2 linked regions of the Styela clava genome follow. The protein of the gene in region 1 purifies or fractionates together with the protein of each later gene. This does not show direct contact. Links are inferred from orthologs where the notes say so. Each region holds a gene or a part of one and is shown in the gene's direction. Other genes may lie near its edges.

What was found.
Region 2: the proteins of kinesin-like protein KIF14 (region 1) and KIF-binding protein-like purify together in Homo sapiens (affinity purification with mass spectrometry; 3 studies listed by BioGRID and IntAct, counting the BioPlex papers as one, with this or other methods). This does not show direct contact. The link is inferred for Styela clava from reciprocal best matches to the Homo sapiens genes KIF14 and KIFBP.

What each region holds. Positions count from the first base shown.
Region 1 is NC_135254.1:17,309,766-17,313,700, forward strand, and holds the start of kinesin-like protein KIF14, read left to right. Parts: upstream 1-1,458; 5' UTR 1,459-1,565; coding exon 1,566-2,210; intron 2,211-2,666; coding exon 2,667-2,811; intron 2,812-3,130; coding exon 3,131-3,215; intron 3,216-3,631; coding exon 3,632-3,756; intron 3,757-3,935. UniProt on the Homo sapiens protein: Microtubule motor protein that binds to microtubules with high affinity through each tubulin heterodimer and has an ATPase activity. Plays a role in many processes like cell division, cytokinesis and also in cell proliferation and apoptosis.
Region 2 is NC_135253.1:7,647,752-7,651,686, reverse strand, and holds the start of KIF-binding protein-like, read left to right. Parts: upstream 1-849; 5' UTR 850-907; intron 908-2,234; 5' UTR 2,235-2,292; coding exon 2,293-3,935. Other genes in the region: coatomer subunit delta-like, read right to left, coding at 624-626. UniProt on the Homo sapiens protein: Activator of KIF1B plus-end-directed microtubule motor activity. Required for organization of axonal microtubules, and axonal outgrowth and maintenance during peripheral and central nervous system development.

The sequences.
Region 1 (3,935 bases):
CGGTGGTTTTCCAGTTTTCTGTTGGTTAGGGTATCATTTTTGTTCAAATCCGATCACCTATTTGGGAGGTTAGGCTGTCGTTTTAAGAACTAGGAAGCTTATTGAAAGGTCGTTATTCACTAGTATGATTTACCGTTAGCTGTTTTATCATTCTGAAGTTTCTGTTAGTTCTGTAGTTAGTTCTGAAGTTAGATAAATCTGTAAATACAGAAATTCTGGAAATATGAAACGCTTCCACATTCAGACATTCATAGATTGAAACAATATCTGAATATAGCCTACATATAAGTTATATCAGTATATCCTTGTTGCAGATACGGGGTATTCAACTTATTATGTTTGATTGCTTATTTCAGTGAAAAAAGGCAGCCAAAAAAAGTTATGAAGCTGTACCGTAAGTTAGATAAACAGATTGATAAATAAATAATACGGTACCGCTTTGGGTATCACACATAGTACTGTAGTACTACAAAATCTACAATATAAATACACCACAGTATAAACATCTATACAGGTATAACAACAATGTATCACAAAAATTGGCAATTACTACAATCAGACAATTACAGAATTAAGACTAGACAAATTATGACTAGTAAAAGCACTGGAAAGGAGATTCTGACATTAGACAATTACCCAATAGTAGTGCTAACCCATTTTTAATACACAAATGTCGAAAACCATTATCTAATTCTCTCCAATATAATATTCTGATATTTGACAATTCCCAGTATTGTCCAAGTGTCCTTGGGTTGGACACTGACCTGGGAATCTCCGTATTTATCCAAATAGTGTTTGAAAATATTCACAGATGCACTTATTCTCACATTTAATGGTAATCTGTTCCAGTATTTCACGACCCCGTTCGGCCGTTCCCAAAAAAGCTCAACTTTGAACGCTGATTTTGCCTTATGTCAAGATCTAACAATTAAAAGAAAATTTTGATAAAAATGTTATTTGTACTACATCTGAACATGGATGTTTACATGCATATAATCCTAATTTAACTTAATCATGTAGATCAAGGCCTAGACTGTCGGGGTTCTGCACTCTCTTTGTACTGTACAGACTGTATGACACACATCGTAAATGACGACGTGTGGAAATTCGTGCGGCGCATTATGCTCATAAAATTTAAACGATACCATGCACAGTGAAAACAAAATGAACTACAAATTGTAAAATATCTTGGTGACCATGTTTCAACTCGGCATGGTGGTGCATTGCGCTAACTATTGTGATAGGGATATGCTCGGCAGGTGCGAATCTTGCTGGGGATTAGGTCAAGTCATTGCTCATTTCTTTCAACCGCTTCAAATCCAGATATATTTTAATGGACACGTTTTTTTAGTAAGCCTCCCAGGACGCTATAATTGATTGCTTCCTTAAATTCTTATTTGCACCACTAATTTGGTAATTAATGAAATTATTTTTAAATGAACATTTTTCAGAAATAGAATTAGATTTAAAAATATGTACCTGGTTGAGTTAAATCTGATTGCTACAAAGAATATACAAAAATCACATTTACATAATTTTACTTGTGTAGACCATTGATATACAAAATGTCTTCAAGAGCGATAACTCAAAAACGTAAAGCATTCACAAATGAGGTTTCTAGCAGAAAAGGATCACCACACACTTCCGTTACAGTTAACAGAAAATATAAATCATCTCTGACATCAACCCCTGTCAAATATGGTGATGGGACAGATACCGGTAATGCACTAGATCTATCAAGATCACCAAAGTTTTTTAAAGTCAATTTAGACAAGGAAAATAACAATACACCGACTTCAACAACTTCTAAAAACACGGGGTTTGTTAAGACTTCATCAAAATTGAGCACAAAATTATCTGTCGATAAGAAAAATTCAAGTACCTCAGGTACAACGAAAAGTCCTAAAATTCCTCCTACAAATTTCATGTGTGCATCGTCTGTGTTATCGACAACTACAAGCTCACTTGCAAGACATCATCGAAAAAGTCATGCGGATCAAGCAAACACTAAAGATAACCATGAGAGCTCTCCTATAGCTAGAAGGAATATCAAAAAACATCTCCCCGAAAAAATGACACCTGGTATGAGCCCTTATCATGGCACGCCACCGAAACGTAGGCCGCCTGAAACAGAAATTGGAGTAACTGCAAGTCCTTCATTCAAATCGATTCCAAATGATATGGTTCGCAAAATGGTTAAAAATATTCAGGTAAATAAAAGTCTAATGTACCGTAGTTATTTTATTTTAGGTACATTATAGCCTTAGGCAAGCTGTTTTGGATCCTGTTTGAAAGTTGGATCTTGAAACCAGCTTTATTTGTTTGGAAAATTGAAATCAATTGTTGATATTTTTCCAGTTTAAAATACAATGAAACAGATATTTTCTGGTTACTCTGTTACAAGTTCAACCTCGTATTATAGAAGTAGATTGGAGTGAATGAATTGGTTGAAGTTTTTGGGGAAATAAATCAATTGTTTCTTGATTGATATAGCACTGTGTTGTCATAAGTTTGGTGTTGTGGTTTTTCGTTGTCTTTTTATATTTCTGATTGACAAAATTTTAGTTGTGTTTTTGTTTAAAATGACATACCGTAATTACCTTGTACTACAAACTGAACTGATTATGGTAATTAATGTATCCTATTAATCGCATGATATCTTTAAGGATAAACCACCTTCTCCGAGCTCTAGGAACCCAACTGGGCGCAATAATCCACACGAAAACAAGCCCACCTCTGTTCGAAAAAATTTAGCAAGTCGACTTGGTGGAAGCAACTCAATTAAAAGAGGAAGATCATCTTTTGCATTAAGTATGATGATGACTTTTTAATTTTTATGTATATTAGTCGACTTTTTTTCTATGAGTTTTGTAGCAATTTATTTTCCATCTTTTGTATAATCTAGAATGCTTTTCCAATACATACCGTACTTCACAGAAACAGAGATATACAAATACAAAAGTTTCCTGTAAATGTTCAATGATGCTCTTAACAGTCTGAAGTATAAAGCATTGTCTTCAGAATATTTCATTATGCTCGCGAGTCGCGACGCTTGTTTTTCTGCTTGCTGACGAATTATTAATATTTGAAAATGCTTAGCACATTTATATTTTTAAAAATATGTTTTCAGGTCTCGCTCAGAACGTAGACAAAGAAAATTTACGAGAAGATTTTTCCGTCACTGTTGCTGTCAGAGTGCGGCCGTTCAGCCAGAAGTAAATATTTTATTTTTGTATACGGATATTTAGTGAAACCAAATTTTTAGAGAATACGGGCATATTTGACTGGATCATTGAAATAAAATTATAGTGATGAAATGAGATGGTAATCGAGGATGTCCACGAGCGCTAGTTTGATTGTATTCTAAATTTTTTTTCAATTCAGCAATCGAAAGTGCGCGATAACTATGAATTTTAAGTATCCCTAAAATGTAGAAATGCCAGAGACAATAATGTTTCTTTTTTCCTTTTTGGACGGATGTTAAGTTTAATGCTGAACACATCAAATAGAAAATTTCTTCAATTTGGAAAATCTTTTATATAAATGGGCCTATTTCACGTAACTGATTAAAATGTACCTGTATTCAATTTGTTCTGGACAAACCTATAAAACAGTGCTTTATAACCGACAGGGAGGAAGATGCGAATGCAAAACAAGTGGTTTTCATGAACGAAAATGGAACATTGGTTTCAGATGGATCGAATGATCATAATTTTTCTTATGATTTTTCATTTGATTCTATAAAACAGTCATCAGGTGAATTTGTTGAATTGATTTTTTGCGCAATCAATACTATATTTATGTTTAGAAAGTAAGAATATTTCATTTGCTTCATGGCTATGATGGATTTAAACTTTGTTCTAGTAATGTAAATGGATTATGGTAATTTTTGTTATCTAAATATTTTATGCTCGCTATTGTGGAGTGTAATAAAT
Region 2 (3,935 bases), on another chromosome or scaffold:
ACTCGGACGATCACCCGAAATCGGGCAAGCTAGTTCTCTCGTTTTTGCCTCACAACGATCACCATAAGAGAGAGATCGTCGGCGTTAGCGAGTTCATTATCGGCGGCGCAGATGCCATTTCGGGCGATTGTAATTATACTTTGGCAAGCCATATCACGTGATGGTGACATCCTAGTGACGTAATTTTTGGATGGCATAGTCAGGTGGGGGTTAGGAATACCATATGCAAAATTCGTTATGCTACGCCCACTGGAAGTACCTGTGGTACTAAACTATACTAGACCCGCCTCTCGTTCGGTTACCAGGTCGGGTATGGGATTAGTTAACCAGGTATTTGTTTTCGGAAGAATGGAGTTGATATATAGAAATAAGATTTTATATTAATTTGAAGGACTGAATGAGATAATAGCCATGGAGTTAAGTCTTAACACTGTTTTGAAAAAAAAATATAAGCAATCCATCTCAACACAGTAACAGCAACTAATTAACAATTGAACATTGCCAGATTGCGTTAGCCTATATCTGTAACGTTATATGGAGTCAGGTTAAGTTAGATCGGACCATAATTTGAATCCAAAACTGGTGGTCATATCATAGATTCATATTCCATAATAATCACTTACCATATTGTAATTTATAGATTTCCAAACCTCAGAAATGTGAAACAAAAACGACACCGATAGCCAGTATGCCAATGCAGAAACCTTGTTCAACAGGCAGCCACGTCAGTGCTAGGCATAAGTACGAAAACGGCTGAATGGAGACTACTGCGATGTTCGATAAATTCGATTTATCATCCCCGCGAGATGTCGCGCTAGAGTAATAAAAATTCTTATTACCCATTTACTTCAGTCTTCACTCCGCGAGTTCGTTGAGATGAATACGATGCAGTATAATATAGCCTACGGTAAATATAAGTATATTTTGAGTACCGGAATTTCGGCAAATAGTACCGGTATGCATCGTATTGTCGTATTTTTTATATTTATTCAAGTGTGATCTTGTTTTCCCAATTTTTTTTTATGTATGTATGTTTATTCGTCTCGTAATAGTGATAAATAAATGAACAATTATTCATGGCCCCTTTGTGCATATTTTAAATAGGTAGATATGCTTTTCTGTAGTGAATGAACTGGGTAATTCTGAAGATAAAACCTAAATAAATTTCATTATGCACTTCAGTGTTCTTAATTCATTTTAATAATTGGATGTGAGAGAATTTCATGTTGTGAATTTTTATATTATATGTCGGGACGGCGGAAAAACAGGCTAAAACCGGGACTGTCCTGGCTAAACCGTGACGTATGGTAAGCCTATGTATGACCATAGTTGTGATTCGAACCTTCCGTCACCACTGTGGAGCTAGCAGCAATTTCAACCAGAATATTTTTACACATTGAATATAATTTCCAAGCGCATATATGATTCACTTATAGCTATATATAAAAATTGAAAAGGCTGATTAAAATATAATTTTACCACGGAATCAGATGAAAAATCTTTAAACTAAATAAATACAATAAATTGGACGAGAAAATATTGTTTAAAAAAAGATTAAGTAAGCGAAAAATGAATCTAAGGTAGCCAGGTTCCTAATTTTTTGCGAAAGCGTTTATTAGATTACAATTCAGTCTTTCTTCGTTGTCAAATATAGCTACCGTAAGTAGCATGCTTCTAGTGGGCGTAGTTTTACAGTTTTTGCATTTGTCAATCCTAACCAACACTTCGCTGCGTCATTCGAAAATTACGTCAAAGTGACATAACAAGGCCCTTCAAACTGTACAAACTGTCATTCAAGCACACAGACAGTCACCTAAAATCTAGCAAGCTATTTCTCTTGTTTTTGCGTTGCAACGATCCCGATATGACTGGCGGCGGCGCAGATGCCATTGTGGGTGATCCCCCTATACTCTGACAAGCTCTATTAAGGAAGTGATTGTGATGTCGTAGTGACATAATTTCTGGATGCCATAGTCAGATGGGGATTAGGATTGACATATGCGAAAATCGTTATGCTACGCCCACTAGAAGTACTTGAAGTACGAAACTACACAAGACCCCAGTAATAGTACATTTTGTAAACATTCACTGGTCCCATTGTTTCCAGAATCTGAGAATATTGATCTTTTTTTTCTACTTTCTTCTTAGTTAAGTGGCGAAAATGCTGCAGAGCAAACCATTCAAAAGTCGTTGTGCCTATAGGCCTACTCATTAAAATACATTTTTTTTAACAGAAGAATTAGTACTATATTTCAGATTTATTTAATATACAGATATATAAGGAAGTTGGATATGAATTTTGAATTCAGTTTACCCCAGACACTTCTTGAATATTTTGAGTCGGAGGGATACGATGCATATAACAGTGTACGAGTTTTAACTGATGAAGAAAGTTTAAAAGATCCAGAAAATGATCCTTTCAAGTCAAAATACAAAGCAAGAGAAAAGCTGCAAGAAATATTGAATAGAATACATAAAGAACGAGAAGAAAATGAATCTGACCCATCCATGAAAATTTTAGAAGCTGCGATACAATATCAGCTAGGATTTAATTACACTCACACTGAGGAAAGACCTGCTGGAGAAGAATGTCTTGATAAGTGTATTGCTCTTCTGAAAGACGATGAACTTTTAATGAGACCAGAGGCTGTTAGCATTGCCATGATTGCATATTCTGAACTTGGAATAGTATGGGCTAGCCGTTATCAAGGCCGAGACGAGGCAATGTTCAACCTTAAAAAAGTTGAAAGTCTTTATAATAAATATAAGCATGAAGTGGGTCTTTCTCCTTTCGCTATTGATGAAAGTTTGCGTCCAAAGGAAGAGAAATTCACTGACATGCAACGTGATGCAAAATTTGAAAAGATTTTCACTCATACATTGTTTTACTTGGCACAGATGTACAAACAAAGTGATGAAAATGATCTATCTGCTGCATATTGTCAAAGAACTTTACGACGTCAACTGGAATCAAAAGAGTATGATCCAAAAGAATGGGCTGTGAATTCTGCTGGCCTATCACAATATTACATTTGTCAAAATATGTATCGTGAAGCAAAACATTGTTTGGCTTGTGCCAATGTCATTATGGAAGAAGCAAAACCTCAGGAAGGTCTACCTGAGCCGAAACCTGATGATGATAATGAGACGATCATGCTGAGAAATGAAATACCACAGAAGAAAGCAGATATCGCTCGTTGTTGGGTGAAGTACTTTCTCGCTCTTCTGGATTACTCAAAGGAACTCTTATATAATGATGTGTGTGAACTTGATGTTAATAGACAAGCAGAAGCTATACTACGACTACAATTAAATGAGGAAAATGACAATGATGTACCCAAAGATCATGACAGAATGCCTCTTGAAGTTGATTCTGTAGAAGAGAATGCGAGACATTTACCAGTCACCACTTTTGAAGAAAGTCGACAAGTGTTCCTAATAGCGAAAAAATATGTTGATTCTGCTCTTGAATTCTTTGTTATGGATGGTTTTGTCACAGATAATATTGAGCTGACGCAAGACATGAGTGCTCTGTATAAACACTTGATTTTCTTTGAGACAGAGAAAGAGAGAAAATGCAAGATGCATAAAAGACGGATAGACCTTCTTACTCAAGTTTTGAATGAGATAAATCCTCAATTTTTTCTTTTAATATGCAGACAACTTCAGTTTGAAATTGGGGAAATATATGGTGCGATGTTAGATTTAAAAATTGCAATTGCTAATGAGTCGACTCAGACTCCAACACACCACGCTATCAAGAAGATAAACCTATTGTGTAGGTCCAGTATATTATATTTCACTAAATTTCTTGACACACTACGAAATACTAAAAAAGTATTTCCTTTTCCATTTGATGAAGATGTTGAACATCCTGCGATTATTGCACATTTTCACGTCGCTAGACTGTATTCAAAAATAATTGCTCCTGTAAG